Saccharomyces cerevisiae S288C: one gene and its partners. The protein of the gene in region 1 interacts with the protein of each later gene in a biochemical or structural test. Each region holds a gene or a part of one and is shown in the gene's direction. Other genes may lie near its edges. The genes, in order: RTT105, RFA2 and RTT101.

Region 1 (3,107 bases):
TCCAGAAGTGACGAACGATGCTAAGCATTACCCATTCAAAGTGATTGACAAGGGAGGTAAACCGGTAGTGCAAGTGGAATATAAAGGCGAGACAAAGACATTTACTCCAGAAGAAATTTCCTCAATGATCTTGACAAAGATGAAGGAGACTGCTGAGAACTTTTTAGGAACAGAAGTGAAAGATGCTGTAGTAACGGTTCCAGCCTATTTCAACGATTCACAAAGGCAAGCAACAAAAGATGCCGGTACAATCGCGGGCTTGAACGTTCTTCGTATCATTAATGAACCTACAGCTGCCGCTATTGCGTATGGGCTGGACAAGAAATCGCAGAAGGAGCACAACGTCTTGATCTTTGATTTAGGTGGTGGTACTTTTGATGTCTCTCTGCTATCCATAGATGAAGGTGTCTTTGAGGTTAAGGCTACTGCTGGTGACACTCACTTGGGTGGTGAAGATTTCGATAGTAGGCTGGTTAACTTTCTAGCCGAGGAGTTCAAAAGAAAAAATAAAAAGGATCTAACAACTAACCAAAGGTCCCTAAGGAGGTTAAGGACCGCCGCTGAAAGGGCCAAGAGAACTCTGTCTTCGTCTGCTCAGACATCTATAGAAATAGATTCATTATTTGAGGGTATCGATTTCTATACTTCCATTACAAGGGCAAGATTTGAAGAATTATGTGCTGATTTGTTTAGATCTACATTGGAGCCAGTGGAAAAAGTTTTGGCTGATTCAAAATTAGATAAGTCACAAATTGATGAAATTGTACTTGTTGGTGGTTCAACAAGAATTCCAAAAGTACAAAAACTGGTTTCTGATTTTTTCAATGGTAAAGAACCAAACCGTTCGATTAACCCTGATGAGGCCGTCGCTTATGGTGCTGCCGTACAGGCTGCCATCTTAACGGGTGACCAGTCGTCGACGACCCAAGATTTACTGTTGCTGGATGTTGCACCATTATCTCTAGGTATTGAAACTGCAGGTGGTATTATGACAAAGTTGATCCCAAGAAATTCGACTATCCCAACAAAAAAATCGGAAGTGTTTTCCACCTACGCTGACAACCAACCTGGTGTGTTGATACAAGTTTTTGAGGGTGAAAGGACAAGGACAAAAGACAACAATCTACTGGGTAAATTTGAGTTGAGCGGTATTCCACCCGCTCCAAGAGGCGTACCACAAATTGAAGTTACATTTGATATCGATGCAAATGGTATTCTGAACGTATCTGCCGTTGAAAAAGGTACTGGTAAATCTAACAAGATTACAATTACTAACGATAAGGGAAGATTATCGAAGGAAGATATCGATAAAATGGTTGCTGAGGCAGAAAAGTTCAAGGCCGAAGATGAACAAGAAGCTCAACGTGTTCAAGCTAAGAATCAGCTAGAATCGTACGCGTTTACTTTGAAAAATTCTGTGAGCGAAAATAACTTCAAGGAGAAGGTGGGTGAAGAGGATGCCAGGAAATTGGAAGCCGCCGCCCAAGATGCTATAAATTGGTTAGATGCTTCGCAAGCGGCCTCCACCGAGGAATACAAGGAAAGGCAAAAGGAACTAGAAGGTGTTGCAAACCCCATTATGAGTAAATTTTACGGAGCTGCAGGTGGTGCCCCAGGAGCAGGCCCAGTTCCGGGTGCTGGAGCAGGCCCCACTGGAGCACCAGACAACGGCCCAACGGTTGAAGAGGTTGATTAGATAAATACAAAGATGCGATGAAGTAGCAGCATCGAATTTCTTAGTTTTCCCTCTTAACAACTTTTTATAAGTATATATATAAGATACACAATCAGTAATTAGCAAATGACTACTATTTGTACGTTCTCATCGTCATAAGCCAGAGTTTAATTAAGTGCCTCAACCGGGATGCGATTTCGCGTTCATATACAAAGCCGAAATGACAATAAGAAAGTCATCGCCAAACAACACGACTAATTGACCATTAAAAGGAACAAAATACAGTCAAAGAGTTTAGCTCGGAAATGTACAGCAATCATAATTTAAATTCGGATGACTGTTGCTTCGATTGGAATGAAGAGAAGGCCGCAGAACTACAGCGTACAGGTGTTTCTTTTGACCGGAGTTTAACACCTCAATCTTTAAGAACATCTACACGTAGACTATCAGAAGAGAACAAACAACAAAGTGGCACTATGCACATTGACACTTCCCCTTCTGTGGTTTCAGATATAATATCAAGTAGACGAGATCGTTCACAGGATTTTTTTGGGCCTCATTCTTCATCCCCTATTGCCCCTTCAGAACGACAACGAGCGGATCAGAGATCACGGTTGGAGTCCATGAGATTAACTAGACGTCGAGACAAAATGACCAAAGTACGCGGTGGCCTAGAAAAGATGGAAGAAATGATCATGCAAGGTGAACACCTTAGAGAAATGCAAAGGCTAAAGCAGGAAGCACAAAAGAACGCTCTACCCTCTGACATGGCTGAATATATGGAATGGCAAAACAACGAGGATTTGGAAGACGATGAGTTGCTTGCCTTTATTGAAAAACAGGAAACTTATAAAAATGAATTAGAACACTTTTTGAACAATGCTAATAAAAATGTTTATGAGAACAACTCGTATCCGAACTCTCATACGTGATGGCATCATTGCTATTACAGAAATAGCCCTAGCCTGTCATATTTAACTGAGCTGTTGAGTATGGGCATCTTTCCGCATGCGCTAACTACGGAGCTGGCTCTTCCCCTTCTATTAATCCTTCTGGCAGGAAGCGAAAGCGACTGATGTCGTTTCTACGTTTCTATGTATATTCTATCGCGTTTAAGTGTGTATATTTTGAGCTGCTCAAGTGAAGGGAACGTATTCAGAATAACTAGATTCTCTGCCATACGATCAACTAACTGTTTACCATATACAGTCTCAGTTCGCTACGGTTAGCGTACCGTAAAACAGCAGTTTACATTCACTATATAAAGGATGACGTAAGAATTTGCCTACGTATTAAAGAAAACTTCACAATCAAACTGCTAAAATATACAAATAATTCCGTTCATTTCAGGCCATGATGACGATCCTTCACATAATCTTGAACGGGATCGGTATTCGGATCATATTTCTCCAATTTTTTGATTTGTTCTGGC
Region 2 (3,325 bases), on another chromosome or scaffold:
CACAGCGGACTTCAAAATACCCAGCGACATATATTTTTCAGCTAAGGTGGCATCCAATTGCCACCTAGGGATGAACGGCAGCTGGTGGATGTATGACAGCCTGCTAGCAACATTGATTTCGCTTGAACTTGGAACCAATTTACTCTTAATCTTCAAATCCAATTCTTCTACGAGGGATTGCATTTGTAAAAGTCCTCTTTCAATAGTTTTAGCCTTTGTTGTCTCAATAATTGACCTTTCCCATAATGATCGGGCGAAAATAGACCAATTTTTGTCACCGTTTTGATATAATATTCTAGAAAGCAAAGCAGTAAGTTCTTCTTCCACAAGAGGATCCTTGGCCGGAGTTGTGTTCTTTATGGTGTAAAGACGTAACAGCAACTGGATGTTGTCGTAATCAGATAGGGTAGGTTGATCGTTAGGGTTCAAATCCAGCAACAACTTTGGAATATTTTCTTGACGTAGTGCCAATGGCAATAGTTTATCTTCTTCATAACCTTCATTTAGGTCTACCTTTTGTCTTTTACTATAAATTTGCTCGTCTAGAGGTTCATCAGCAATGGACTCAAAATGAGGCTTCTCCAATAATAGATCGGACTCTAAAGCAAATGTTTCTGGTGTAGCAGATGTCGTTCTCAAAGCAAAATTTTGAAATGTGAAGGATTTGGCAAGAATGATCAAACCGGCATGAGCCTTTTGCTGATATTTAGTTCTAGTAGCGCGTGCACCCGTCATTACAAATTCAAAATTTGTTATCTTTTTCGCTCTGGTCAAGGATGGCAGGCACAAATGTTCTGTGTTGATGGCCAATGAACATTTGACATTCTCTAGATAGTACATTGCACAAAGTTCTCTTTTGAAATCTTCGTGAATACTCTCCGGTAATTCCTTAGTTATCGCATATGCAAGGTCAGCAGACTGATATATTGCAGATGCAACACTAGCTTGGAACCCAGAAGGTTCTGGAATCAGTGACAATTGCGTCAAAAGAGCTCTTGCCCACCACCAATAAGCTACAGCTAATAATCCAGGAGTAGACTCAGCAGAGATAATAGGTAGCGGAATTTCTTGATCCGGGGTAACATCAAATAAGCTTTTTTGGCCGGTTATCCTTTCAAGTAATAATAGTGATAAAACCAAATACAATGGATCATCCATAAATTCGTAGGCAGGCTGGCCCATAATGGCTAATGAGCGGGAAAGGGCTGTATTAACTGCTCCTATTTCAATTCCAGTTTTGCCAAACAAACCTGAGATTGCTTTCAACCTAGCTGCTGGGCCGGTGTAGTTATTTTGAATAAAGGTCTGTAAGAGGGCAATAGCCAAAAATAGCATCTCATTTTCTTGGCCCATTTTGAAAACCTCAACGTTAAGAAAGTCATTTAGAGCAGCAATAACACTAGATGTGGATATTTCTCCCGAAATACTAATTTTTCCCTTAAATTTGTCCACAAATTGCTGTACTAGCTGGTATGATTCACCACTGATGATATGTTCAGCCTTTTTCACATATGTCTGGTCGAAAGAACCACTTTTCAGAGATTCTACTTCTGCAGACAGCAATAATTTTGCATGCAATAACGTCTCCATAATTTTGCAACCACTAGTTTACTTTTTGCCTGGTCTGATAGCTTCTTTTTAGCAATTCCTTTGGCCTCGATGAGCTTCCATTTTCAATTTTCATCTTTTTTTTCACGATGCGAAGTTTCTTAGATAATTATCGCCATATACGAAACGCGTTAGGAAACGCGTTCTTTCCTTTATAATAAGCAATATTATATCAACTTAAGGTGGAAGTAATGTGGCAAAATCGATAGCGACTATCTAGAACAGGCTAGTTTAAGCATATACATAATGGCAAGTATGTATTAGTGCTAGGAATTGGAGGATTTGCTCTTTTCTGCATCATTTTTTTTATTTTTATTGGCGAATGTTAAAATTACTAACAATGGATGGGATTCCAATACAGCCTATCAACCATATAACGAATATTCATCAGTAACGGGCGGTGGCTTTGAGAACTCTGAGTCCCGCCCAGGTAGTGGGGAGTCGGAAACTAACACTAGAGTTAACACCTTGACACCTGTGACGATCAAACAAATTCTAGAGTCCAAACAGGATATTCAGGACGGCCCCTTCGTTTCGCATAACCAAGAACTTCATCACGTTTGTTTTGTAGGTGTGGTGAGAAACATTACAGACCATACTGCAAATATTTTTTTAACTATTGAGGATGGAACTGGTCAAATAGAAGTGAGAAAATGGAGCGAAGATGCAAATGACTTGGCTGCCGGTAACGATGACTCTTCTGGTAAAGGTTATGGTTCGCAAGTCGCCCAACAATTTGAAATTGGCGGTTACGTAAAAGTTTTTGGTGCTTTGAAAGAGTTTGGTGGTAAGAAAAATATACAGTATGCGGTGATTAAGCCCATAGATTCATTCAATGAAGTGTTGACGCATCACTTGGAAGTCATCAAATGTCATTCCATAGCCAGTGGAATGATGAAACAACCTTTGGAGAGTGCATCCAACAACAATGGGCAATCATTATTTGTCAAGGATGATAACGATACATCTTCCGGCTCCAGTCCGTTACAAAGAATTCTAGAATTTTGTAAGAAGCAATGTGAGGGCAAAGACGCTAATTCATTCGCTGTTCCCATTCCATTGATCTCGCAATCCTTGAATTTGGATGAAACTACCGTCAGAAACTGCTGTACGACCTTGACTGACCAGGGTTTTATCTACCCAACTTTTGATGACAATAACTTCTTTGCCCTATGAAAATATATAGATTATTTTTTTAGCATTTCTTAGTATTCGTTTGTGTATTTCTACTAGGTAAGTACCAAAATTTGCCGGAAATAGAGTGGAAAATGGAACCCGTTCCAAGAAGGGGTAAGATGCATGAATATTAAGTTGGTTGCATAAATATGCTATATAAAGTCCACTACAAAAAGTCATTTATTTTTGCCCGTAAGAATAAAGAACGAATCCGTCCTTATCTCTGACTTCAATGGGAACATTTACACGCAGTACGGGCTTCAATAATAGTTCCCAGTCGTATCTGGTTCTAGGTGTACATAATGAAAAATGTCTCAGCATTCTTATTTTGACAGCTTTGAATTTTGACAAATTTCTCAGGAAACACCAGAGGTTAATATTTGGAATATCTTTAAAATTCTCTGGATCTTGGAAATCATTGAAAAAATTTTCCAATGTCACATTTTGTAAGAACTCCTCCACATCTAAATCTCTATATTCGATGGTTCGGTTCTTCAATTTGATTAAACTATCTCTTAGGCAACGCCTTACAGAGTTGTTC
Region 3 (4,872 bases), on another chromosome or scaffold:
TAATGTATCGCTTATATTGAAGTTTGCTGTGAATCTAGGACGCGTCTGCTGAAATATGCTGAATCAGTTTCCGGTGAAAGACTTTAATTTTGATATTTACCTACGTTATTTACAAGTGAATTGAAATATTCATCAACGTTATGTGTAACTGTCAATATTCTCCAAAAATCCTTTGAATTCCAAGCCGATTAAATCATTTCTATCACAATCATAAATCATGCCCTTTTCGACTTTAATTGTTAAGCCTTTATCTTTAATCTTCACTGAAAATTTAGGCCCCGAGAAATATTTCCATTGTTCGCTCTGTAAGGTGTTCATAGCATCTTTAATCTCATCGTTTATAGATTTAAACTCGTCACAGTAATATATAGGTATTTCGCCGTCAACTTTGAATGTTTTCTGAAAACGCTCGGATACCACTGCAATGAACTGATTAGGAGTAATTATACCAACATTTTTGATTTTTGATTTTACACTATGAACTCCACTTGACTCCCATTCCATATTGTTCGGTAGTGAGGGTTCTAATAAGCCGCTAAACTGTTCTAAATCCGCATTAAGCAACATCGTTGCATGATGGTATGCTTTGCCACCGGCAATTTTATAAGCACTGCCACTAATTTTAAACCCGTCCTGAATAATATCTCCTCTCTCATTCAAATCTAGTCTTAGTTCGGGATTCAATGAATTTAACCACTTAATTATCATTTTGTTGAAAAACTTTGTTTCGAATTTCTCCCTTGATGTTAAATATGAATAATTAACATTGCCCAAATCATGCAGTACAGTGCCACCTCCAGAAAATCTTCTAAGTAGTTCGAAATTCTTACTCTTCAGCTTAGCAAGATCTACTTCCTGCCACAGATTTTGGTTTTTGCCTATAACGGCGCACCTATCATTGATGTAAAATAACAGTCTGCAATTATCGGGACCTCTTTTGGCTCTTGGTGTATTCTTGAAAACATAGTTTTCAAGGGCCAAATTATAATAAGGACTGGTGGATAAACTTTGTATAACAAATCTGCCCTTTGCCTTTACTATATTTTCCAATTGTGAAGCAGACATGATCTGTTTGGCATATCCAATATTATAGAAATTGTACAAGTCTTTATTAAAAGCACTGATATCTTCTTCCATAGAGCTGGCCTTCGTCGTATCATAATCAGATTTACCTTCATCCTGCAAAATTGAAACGTTATCATTTGAAGGTGTAAACATGTTTTCATACATTGAGTTTATATCATGATATTTATCGTCTGCGTCTTTTGCCCATCGTGTAAGTGTGTGAAATAAAGTGGTGCAATGTATGAGGTTTCGCTGTCCCACATATCGAGGGGAGAGTGCCCAATTACTTAGCATCATAGACATAATGTAAACATCAAAGAAAAGTCTAGTGTTTTCTTCTTTTGTATTCATCAAAAATTCTACATACGTGAGCTCGGAGATTTTTGGATGTTCAATATTCCTGATTAAGTATGACGAAGCGGAACGCATAGCTATCCTTTGCGTAATGATGAATATGAACAATGCGAATGAAGATCATCGATATCTTTGCACTAAAAGACTACTTTGAAGGAATCCTCAAGATATTAAACCCACCAATCTTTTTTACTGGTATAAATTCTCGTACGGGTTCACAGGAACAATGATAAATGAGAGCGTTTCCAAGAGAGAAGGATTCCACGAGTCTATAAGCAGAGAGACGAGTGCAAGCAACGCTTTAGGACTATACAATAAATTTAACGATGAGCGAAATCCCAGGTATCGAACGATGATTGCTGAGCTGCACGAGTTTTTTCACCTTACTTTAGCTGAAACTATAACTGAAACTGACGTGAAAGAATTGGAGTGTAATAAAGAAAAGGCCGCTAAATTTAGAAAGCTAATGCCTAAGATGTTGAACAATTGCCGTGAATTAACGCAAAGGAAATCATACATTCCTTACAACTCAGAATTTAATGGGAATGACGAAAAGCAAAAGAAGTTTCAGCTGCTACATCAACACCAAATTGTGCTGAGTTTTCAAGAATTTTGTGATGAATTGGCAAAGTTAATAATTGACGCGCACGTCCTTAGCTTTTTGACCAGATGCGACTATTCTTATGAAATTATACCCAAAAATTGGACCTCTTTTTACAAGCTATTTCAGTACGTAATGGGTGCCGTTGGTCCTATTATATCGTATGTGCCGGTAAATTATCCCATGATAAGAAAAGAACTAGGATTTGAGACCTTAACGATATTTCAGTATTATGATTCCAAACTTTTCGAATGTATGAAGTCACATTTTGGAAGGGAATTTTCCACCCTTGTAAGCGCTACTATTCATCACTATATTCATATGTTTCCAATAACGAATACAATGTTAGAGAAGGAAGTTCCTATGCTCCGTATAATGTCTAACTGCAATTTTAGTATAGAGGGCTTGAGCCCCAAAGATTTTTATATGAAAACTCTCAGACAATATTACTGTGAGGAATCAAATTTAAGGCCGAGGCTGGAAACTTTCAAGAATTTTAAGGTACTATTGACGAGGAATGCATTATTAGCATCTTTATTTTCCCCTGAATGGGTCAGCGATGCAAATGACCTATTTATAAGCCATCTACTGTTGAACAAGAAGTCTATTAGCGAATACATAGAAATTGGGAAGGACACTTATGATGAAGAAAAAGAGAGATATTTCAAAACTGAGACACACTTTAGCTTATTGATGTTTAGAAATGCTTTTGAAGCAAAAAATATGCTGTCAAAATTCAAGGAATTCTGTGATGATGCCGTTTCAGAAAAGTTAAAGGCAGCATATGGATCCAATCATGATACTGAAAGGCTATTTGATGAGGTAGTTCAGCTAGCTAATGTAGATCACCTCAAAATATACTCCGATTCCATCGAGTACCATTTATGTAATTTACTTGGAAGTACCAGCAAAGCCATAGAACAGTATGTCAAATATTTTGAGTCACATTTATTCATCATCGTCAGAAAGATAAAAACAACTAAAAAAGACCTACCCAGAGATATGAAAATAAAGTATCTCAACGAAAATCTTCCTATATTGAGACTGAAGTTCGTTAACCTTCCCACATTTCCTAATTTTTTCGAAAGATCAATTTTCAGAAAGACGATCTTACAAAGTGATCAAAATTCCTCATTTATTAAGGATATATTACCTGTTTACAAAGACAGCCTCATGGAACTTTTCAAACAAAGAATCATAACAAATGTCTCACAAGAGGATGAAATGCGATACCGAGATCAATATCAACCCTATTTATCGCAATTCTTTCAGCCGGTAGAGGTTATGGCAGATCTGAGAATCAAATATGCATCGTTCTTGTCGTTTTATGAGAATATCGAGGCTGCTGTGAAGTTCGGGAAGACATACAATGAAAACAACAGCAAGTCATTTTTCCCACTTATCTTTGATAGAGAAAGAATTCCCAAAGTTTTTCAGCAATCCAACGAAGTAAAGAAAAATTTTGTCCTACCTCAAGAGATGGATGATACGTGGAACCAATTTCTCCGTAATTATCACGAGCAGAATAAAGTGGAAGATTCAGATGCTTCCAAAAAAGAGCTATATCCGATGTGGAACTTGCACCACTGCGAAGTGGAGTCGCCTTATATCATACAGGATGGAACTAACCTAATATTTGAATTGACCCTTTTCCAAACATGTGTGCTGACTTTATTCAACGAAAGCGATCATTTGACCTTGCAAGTTATATCAGAGCAAACGAAACTGGCGTACAAAGACTTAGCGCTAGTCTTAAAATCCTTCTGCAATTATAAAATTCTGACAAGAGATATTGACAACACATACAGTATCAACGAGAGCTTCAAACCTGATATGAAAAAAGTGAAAAATGGGAAACTACGTGTGGTTCTACCGAGAACCGCGTCTCTCCAAAGTAGCAACACAGGCGGTGAAAGAACCAGTTCTGCACACCACGAAGGAAGTAATTCCCAATGGACCCAAGAATTACTAAAGGCATGCATAACTAGATCCGTTAAGAGCGAGAGGAATGGGCTAGACTACGACCATTTATTTGAAACGGTAAAGCAGCAGATAAAAGGCTTTAGTGTTGGTGAGTTCAAAGACGCCTTGGCCAAGTTGTTACGAGACAAATTCATAACTAGGGACGAATCAACAGCAACTTACAAGTACTAAGACTGGTGCCATCTTATATATTACCTAACTACTGAGATAGTTTATAATCCGTACCAGCCCTAACTTTTTTTCCGACAGCATTTTATTTCCTTTCGTTTTTTTCGACTTCGTCGCTTTCTCCTCCATATAAAAAAACATCAAGAGATAAAAACTATCTTTCTTGTCCTTGTCCACGTTCAATACAACAGTTACACTGCAAACGACATTAGTGCAAATGCAAACTGTAGTCAATTTGCCGTATGCCTGACATACAACAGGTGTTGTATGAGTGTGACAAGGACACTTTATATATCTTTTTCAATCTCTCTATCCGGCCTTCTTGGCAGGATAGCTTTTCGTTTCAATTTGTTAATGATGATAACCAAAGATGCATAGTTCAACTGATTGAACATACTATCGAAATGAAGATAAAAATTTCCATCGAAATTAGTCTTTCGCTCCTATCTGAACATTACAAAAGAAACGAAAACTGTATTAGTAATATGCTTGTAATTGGAGAAGGGCCGAGGGGCGAGACCATTGTGGAGCGATTTTAAACCTCTTGCAGCACGAATCGTAACGGACCCAGCGCGTACTTTATTCTCCCTGTGCATTCGTGGAAGTTTTGAAACTCTTAAAAGTGGGCTCATCTGTCTGGTATTATCTGTGCCCCTGTTCTACATGTACTCGTGCTTTCTTTATTGCTTCTTTCGGTAACT

Evidence for each region.
Region 2: the proteins of RTT105 (region 1) and RFA2 form a complex in vitro, tested with the Saccharomyces cerevisiae proteins (3 studies listed by BioGRID).
Region 3: the proteins of RTT105 (region 1) and RTT101 form a complex in vitro, tested with the Saccharomyces cerevisiae proteins (one study listed by BioGRID).

What each region holds. Positions count from the first base shown.
Region 1 is NC_001137.3:364,822-367,928, forward strand, and holds RTT105 (Rtt105p), read left to right. Parts: upstream 1-1,980; coding exon 1,981-2,607; downstream 2,608-3,107. Other genes in the region: Hsp70 family chaperone SSA4, read left to right, coding at 1-1,696; NUP157 (Nup157p), read right to left, coding at 3,017-3,107. UniProt on the Saccharomyces cerevisiae protein: Involved in regulation of Ty1 transposition. Inhibits Ty1 transposition at a post-transcriptional and pre-integrational stage of the Ty1 retrotransposition cycle.
Region 2 is NC_001146.8:46,433-49,757, forward strand, and holds RFA2 (Rfa2p), read left to right. Parts: upstream 1-1,854; coding exon 1,855-1,861; intron 1,862-1,969; coding exon 1,970-2,784; downstream 2,785-3,325. Other genes in the region: tetratricopeptide repeat-containing protein EMW1, read right to left, coding at 1-1,590; putative SCF ubiquitin ligase complex subunit SKP2, read right to left, coding at 2,965-3,325. UniProt on the Saccharomyces cerevisiae protein: Binds to single-stranded sequences participating in DNA replication in addition to those mediating transcriptional repression (URS1) and activation (CAR1). Stimulates the activity of a cognate strand exchange protein (SEP1).
Region 3 is NC_001142.9:348,882-353,753, reverse strand, and holds RTT101 (cullin RTT101), read left to right. Parts: upstream 1-1,645; coding exon 1,646-4,174; downstream 4,175-4,872. Other genes in the region: AIM22 (putative lipoate--protein ligase), read right to left, coding at 139-1,368; YJL047C-A (uncharacterized protein), read left to right, coding at 4,576-4,710. UniProt on the Saccharomyces cerevisiae protein: Core component of multiple cullin-RING-based E3 ubiquitin-protein ligase complexes (CRLs), which mediate the ubiquitination of target proteins.